Linked DNA regions of Rattus norvegicus. The protein of the gene in region 1 interacts with the protein of each later gene in a pairwise test. Links are inferred from orthologs where the notes say so. Each region holds a gene or a part of one and is shown on either strand. Other genes may lie near its edges.

Region 1 (3,655 bases):
TGCTGCCTCTGGCCTCAGAGAGGACATTCATGCAGTACACAGACATATAATTTAAAAATTATAAGTTTGTAAAATAAAAAGGAATGATGGTTTCCTGTAATTCTGTCCCTATAGTGACTAGTGCAGGGTGAGTGAGTACTAACAAAATTAAAGGCAAAACCTTTCCACTAAATATTAGCATAGTATTTCTACACCATGTATGAAATTGTCAAATAGGCCTTTTACTTTCACTATAAAGAGGTCAAAATGGTACTCAGACACGACTTCCTACAGAAGGAATAAACGTTAACTACTGCAGACAGGCTGAGTCTGAATTATAGACCAAGACTAAGAAACAGCAAAGAATTTAGAAGAAGCAACGTTAGAGAAGCAGTCTGGGCTTGCTCACCATCGCCCTGCATGTCTGAGGTCCACAGCGTCAGGTTATCACGTAGCAGCTGCATGATGAGTGTGGAGTCCTTATAGCTTTCTTCACTCAGCGTGTCCAGTTCTGCAATTGCGTCATCAAAAGCTGCTTTTGCCAACCTGAAATGAACACACTATCATTAACCAACTAACAATAAAGAAAGCAACAATGGGCACGTCTCTCAGTGATTCTACCAGTCACAAAGACAATTGCCTAGATAACTTTAAATATTTTTTGTCCAGCTTGGTTTTTTTTTGTTTTTTTTTCAGAGCTGGGGACCTAACCCAGGGCCTTGCGCTTCCTAGGCAAGTACTCTACCACTGAGCTAAATCCCCAACCCCCAGCTTGTTTTTAATAATAAAAAATACATTTCTAAAATTTTATATAGATGAACCTGTCATAGTTGCCTCTCTATCTCCATCACATAAATCCTAAGAACTAAACTCTGGCTATGAGGCACCCTACCTACTCAGCCATCTCAATAAATGCTAGAATTGCTTTTTAAACACTTTCCTATATATAAACCAAGGCAGTCCTTGGAATCCCAACCCTAGCCAAGAGTGCTAGTACATAACTAACTTCTGCACTTGGAAGGGAGCAAGATCTAGTTCCATGCCAGCTGGGGTGACACAGTGAGAGCATATCTCAAAGCAATTATATAAACTGCCTCAGTCTCTCACAGCCCTGTACAACCTCACTCAGCTAAGGCGCTAATTCTTTAAAAAAAAAAAATTTTTTTTTTGATGTGTGTGTGTGTGTGTGTGTGTGTGTGTACACAAGAATGTAGGTGTCTGATGAGGGCTGAGGCATCAGACCCCCTAGAACTGGAGACATGAGCAGTTGGGGAGCTGCTTAATGTGGATGCTGGAAATAAAACTCAGGTCACCTGAAAGCACATATTCTTAACACTACGCCATCTCTCTAGCCCCAAGGCACTAATTATTAGTATGATTTATACAAACTATTATAAATAGGCTAGACCGTAAAGAACTATATACCCCACCCAAAACCGCCATAAAAATATATGTGTGATATTTTTCTGAGTTCTATTAAGTTTTAATGAAAGAGAAAATCTTGGATGCACAATAGTATCAATCAATACATTTTAATAGAGACTGGACTATGTGAGCCAATTTACCAATGAGCAACAGCCTCAGTCCCATTGGCTACATCTTAAAAAAAGAAATGAAATCTACACTTAGCCAAGGCAAAGAGGCATCTGTATGGGAAACAATAGTGAGAAATTCAGTCAACACCAGCACTAACAGCTATAGCTTCTTCAGTAAAAATCTATGGAAACCTTGTCATTCAGATAACAGGTACAACTACCTCCACATTGTTCTCTGACACACACACAGAGAAACACATACACACACACATTAAACACCTTTTATTTTGCACTGTGAGTGGGCATGTGGGTCCTGGAGGTGACTCAGGCTGGCAAGCCTCATGGCAAACATTTTTACCTGCTGAGCCACCTCCCTGGCCCATACATTTAAAAAAAAAAAAAAATTTAAGAGGTGCCAAGTGAGAAAAGCAGGCAATGAATGTCCACTTTTCCCTCCCACCTCAACCAGGCATAAACACAAACATATATACACAAAAAAAAAACCTTAAAACACACAGGCCTTGGATTCAATTTTCTGCACTAAAAACAGGGGGGAAAGTTCATATATCAATGCACTTTACAAAAGGTGAAAAGAAGCCGGCGATTTCACACTGTAACCAAGGCAAGTGTGCTCATCCTCCTGCCTCAGTCGCCTGAGGACTGGATTACAGGCACAAGCCACCACCCCTGGATGGGATAGAAGATTTATAGATACTGTTACCAAGAAATTAAAACAATTTTACTTATGTAAGATGCCAAGAACAAGCAAATTCAGACAGTGAAACAGGTTAGGAGAATCTGGATAAGAGTCACAGGTTAAACTCAGATAGGGTGGAGTGAGGAAAATGTTTTGAAATTAGCTGATGCTGAGGGTTCTAAAGCATGATTTAAAAACCAGAAACAACCTGAAAAATGGGAGAAAAGGAGGTTGGAGAGATGGCTCAGTGGTTAAGTACATTAGCTGTCCTTCCAAAGGATCTATGTTCAGTTCCCAGAACTCCCCAAAAGAGTTCACAACTAGTGAGTGCCATGATTTGACTCCTAGGGCCCATCATAGCAGGGAGAGAATCAATTCCCTCAAGTTGTCCTCTGATTTTCATCTGCCCAGCTATGGGGACATCTACGCATCTACACCCACAAATGTGCAAAAAAACTTAGCATGACAATAGTGTCACATCACCAATGAGAGTAAAAATAAGACTTCATATTAAACAGAAAATATTTTTGAAAAGGAAAGTTGTTCACTAAGAGTAGTAAGAGTATAATCCATTCAAGGCTATACTAGACACCTAGTACCAAGACCATGCCTCAAACAAAGCAAGCAACCCCAAAAGACTGAATAAACGCTAATAAAAATTAAGTCAAGAGAATCCTGTGACACCTACAAGAAGACAGAAGGCAGGTCCTCTAGAGCCTTTGCATTCCACACTGGGAACTTTCGTCCACTACTTACCTGCAGGCACGGTCGGGGGAATTAAGAATTTCATAGTAGAATACGGAAAAGTTGAGAGCAAGACCTAAACGAATGGGGTGCGTTGGAGGAAGTTCTGTCATCGCAATGTCACTAGCAGCTTTGTAAGCCACAAGGCTGTTCTCTGCTGCCTCCTTCCTGTCGTTTCCTGTGGCAAACTCAGCCAGATACCTGTGGTAGTCCCCTTTCCTACAATACAATAGTAGACAAAAAACACAATTAGAAAATTACATGTCCTTACAGCATGGCAATTTTCTCTACCATGTAGTACATGACAAAATGTTATGTTAACACTTAAGATACAGATTTTTTCTGAAACTTTAATAAATGACATATTTTTAGAAACTTTACAAAATTCAGAATCCATCAGGATGGCTCATCTTTTCTTTCTTTACCTGTTTTAAATTATTGGCAAACTATCTCAGAAATAACTGAAGAAAAAAAGATTCACAGAAGTGTCTCTGAAGAAAGGCGTATATTCACTCATCACACAACACATTTGCTGCCATCGCTTCAGTGCAGGAGCCCAGGAGCCCCGAGCACGCTGAGCCCCCACTATCCCTGAGTAATTCTCAGCCTTACTTCTCTACAGAAAGTTAAGATTATACTGTGAACTGGGAAACTTTAGCTAAAAAGACCAGGAAATCAAAAGCCCAGGCAGGGTGTGGTA
Region 2 (3,655 bases), on another chromosome or scaffold:
GGGATTAGAAATTTATCAGGAGGCTGCTCCACAGAGGAAATTGGTTTTCCTGTCGTTCTTCGTCTAAGGGTGAAGCTTTATGAAATTTCCTTTATCCATGCTAGCATGTCAATGGGCATTGTCACTATGTGGTTTTGATTAGGCAGCCATACTGTTGAGATTTCAAAGGCACAGTGGCTGTGTTATATCTAGAAGTCACTATCTCACAGCAGGTGTTCTGCTCTTCTGGCTCTCAGAATCTGTAACACTGGCTCCTAGGCATTCACTGAGTCTTGGGCATAGGGGTTATATTGTAGATGTTCCAATTGAGGGTGAGCATAGGATAATGACTTGTTTGCATTTTGAGCAGCTGTGGGTCTCTGTAAACAGCTCCATCTGCTGCAGAAAGAAGCTGCTTTGATGAGGGTAGAGCACTACTTCTACCTGACTGGTACACTGTTCAAACCATATTATATACCATAAAATTTGCTTTTTTGACAGTTTTTAGTTTACTCGGAGTTGTGCAGTAATTAATATAGGAAGGCAATAGGTCTGTCAATTCAATTTGTTAACCTCTAGCATGTTATCCTGAGATGAGTCTGAGTTTGAAGACATAAGTAAAAGGTTCTCCCTGTGTCTAGCTTGCCTGCTTGGGCAGCTCTTGTGATAGAGCCCCTCTCCACCCCCAGTCTCTTCCGTGGTTCATCTGTCTTGAAGGGAAGCTGGCAGGTTTTTCCATTGGCTTTTAGTTACCTCTTGCCTTGCTTGCTCTGGTCTAGTCACCTGATTTAGTTGTGAACTCCTACAAAATTAGCTATTTTGACTCAGTATCCACAAAGCTCTCAGGTAGTCGTTTTGGTACTTTGTTCAATTTATAGCTATTATAGTTGATCAGTTTGTTAATTGCTCGCTCTTCCACATAGGAAGCACAGTTTCTTTTTAAATTTTTTGTGACTGCATATTTTGCGTTGGCCTTGTGTATACTGGACAAACGCTATGCCACTGAAGCTATATATACCTTGCTTTCATTTTTACCTAAAACATAAAATATTGCAAATAAATGGAAGTTCTGTGTTCTGTTCAATGCTGGTGCCTCTTCTATACCCAGAGGTAGAAGAACTTTACCCCTGCTAAGAAGACTTTTTAGATGTTACTTGTCTTGAAATAGGAAGATTGACAGGTAATGAGTGAAAAGTGTATAGAACTTAAGATAGTACTATGATATCATTTTCTTACTATAATCTCTGGCGCCAAAATCAGTACTTTTAGAGAATGCATTCATTCTCTGGGTGATTTCCATGGAATGTGTCTGACTTGTTTTACAACATCTTGATGAACTCTTTCCACAGCTGTGTTCTGTACTGGTGGGAGAGACGGCAACATTATGATCTGGGACACCAGGTGCAACAAAAAAGGTAAACTAGTTCTGTCTTAATTTTAATAAATGTGGCTCACCCTGTGCTTAATAAAACAAGATACTCAAAATGAAAATGCTAGTGATTTCCTCTGCTGCCAGCAGGGAGCACTTGTGTTCCCAGTCCTGCTCATTGCTCACTTCTCAGGGTAATGAGTATTGCAAAGCTATTAGTACATGTTTTTATTTTCATACTGTCTCTGAATTATAATTCTGTTTACCTAAATTATTGATAGAATTAAAACTACTAATGCATAGATTCACTGAATAAAGGTTTGTTTGAGGTGTTTTTGTTTGTTTTTAATTTTCCTTTTTCATCCTGACAAATGGTTCATCAGATAAAGGTGCTGGTCATCAAACCCCAACTACCCGATTTCAGTTCCTACGTGTAGAAGGAGAGAGCAAACTCCCTCAAGTTGTCCTACAACCTCTGTACTCTGGCACCATGGAGTACATTCCCTTCCTTCTCTCCTCACATTAAGAAAAATAATTTAGCATTTAAAAAATGATTAAATTGAATATAAGCTTGTATTGTACAATAGTGGTATTAAAGGAGATGGTCATTGGTGTGTTTCTCATTATTTATGTATTGTTTTAAAATATTAAGCTATTTTTGTGGAGCAGTTTTTAATTTCATAGCAACATTAAAAGTGCAGAGAGGTCCATGTACACTGAACACTTACACATGCGCAGCCTCTCCTGTCATTCAGGTGGGGCCTCCTTCAGCTGGCAAGTGTTGGTTGATGCATAATTACCCCGAGTCCATAACTCACATCAGGGTTTATTTCTCATGTCACACATGCTGTGGATATTGACAAATAGACGTGTGTCTGTCTGCTCTGGTGTCCATGCTTCCTCACTAGGCCTCGCTACCACTGGGTTGTCTCCATGACTTTCCAGATTTTCATAATTGAGTCACGTCATAACTCATCTCTTTTTAGCACAGAATTACTCTTTTGTCCAGGTGTACCACATTGTATCCATTCGTCCACTAAAGGATACCTTGATTGTTTACACGTTTTAGCCATTATGAATAAAACTGTATAACTATATCTGTTTTTCTTTGTGATGTTATAAACTCACCATGGGAGATAAACTGGCTCTTTGGGATTGTTGGGAGATTTTTGTTTTGTTTTGTTTTTTAATTTACTGTGTGTATGTATACACACATACCATAGTACACAAGTGGATCCATCCTTCCATGTGAACGTGTGAGCTGGGAATCAAATCTTCAGGATCTCTACCTCTACTGAGCCTCTTCAGGGTTTTTTGTTTTTTTAAATAACTATTGTATATTTTACTAGTTAGTCAAAAATCACAAAATTTTGAGGTTCTGTGTAAATGTTTAAATATTGCTTTCAGCTTGAAATCAGAAAACACTAAAAATCAATTCCCTTGGAACATTTCAGATGGATTTTATAGACAAGTGAATCAAATCAGTGGCGCTCACAATACTGCAGACAAGCAAACCCCTTCAAAACCCAAGAAGAAACAAAATTCAAAAGGACTTGCTCCATCTGTGGTAAGGTTTTAGAGGACTGTGTGTGTAAATAGGTGGTTGTTGTTGTTGTTGTGTTTGCTTGCTTTTGAGGCAAGATCTCTGCATCCTTAGGCTGGCCTGAAATACATGATCTTTCTACCTAGGCCTACCAAGTGTTAGGACTGTAGATGTGAGCCACCTGCATGACATTAGTGGCGTTCAACAGTAGGGAGAATCAAATCTCTCTTCTTCTTTTGCCTATTGTGTTAGGCAAAAAGATGGATGTAACTCTGAATTCCTTTGGTATTAAAACTCACTTAATACCACTACAAAAAAATGGTTCTTAACTCCAGTGGGTTGTGTAGCAGACATGGTACAGATTGAACTTTCTGAGCATACATGCATTTGTTACAAAAAGTGAAAAGGTAGTTGAAGAAGCATGTTGAGGTCCAAGTGACAAGCTTTTTATGGGAAATGAGTCCTTGTCTTCATAGATATACTTTTTTTGTTTACTCTTTGAAACGTGCACTGTTGTTTTTAATGAAGATAGGTAATGGAAAGATGGGTGGAGGTTTAGTCACTTGTAGATGTTTTCGTCAACTTGCTGTAAGCATGGTGCTGAAGTTTTTCAATATTGTTTTTGTGGGTTCTTCTATATTCAGAATTTGTCCATATTTGAAACGTCGAAGCACGCTCAGTCATGCAAATGCTTAAGCAAAGACTGTTAAGCAGGAACTACACTGACTGCCAGGCCAGCTGCCAGTCCCACGTACTTACTATAG

Evidence for each region.
Region 2: the proteins of Ywhae (region 1) and Dtl interact in binary tests that used the Homo sapiens proteins (3 or more experiments, as listed by UniProt). The link is inferred for Rattus norvegicus from reciprocal best matches to the Homo sapiens genes YWHAE and DTL.

The regions. Positions count from the first base shown.
Region 1 is NC_086028.1:61,110,403-61,114,057, reverse strand, and holds part of Ywhae (14-3-3 protein epsilon), read right to left. Parts: intron 3,175-3,655; coding exon 2,968-3,174; intron 526-2,967; coding exon 389-525; intron 1-388. UniProt on the Homo sapiens protein: Adapter protein implicated in the regulation of a large spectrum of both general and specialized signaling pathways. Binds to a large number of partners, usually by recognition of a phosphoserine or phosphothreonine motif.
Region 2 is NC_086031.1:105,672,360-105,676,014, reverse strand, and holds part of Dtl (denticleless protein homolog), read left to right. Parts: intron 1-1,328; coding exon 1,329-1,394; intron 1,395-2,802; coding exon 2,803-2,915; intron 2,916-3,655. UniProt on the Homo sapiens protein: Substrate-specific adapter of a DCX (DDB1-CUL4-X-box) E3 ubiquitin-protein ligase complex required for cell cycle control, DNA damage response and translesion DNA synthesis.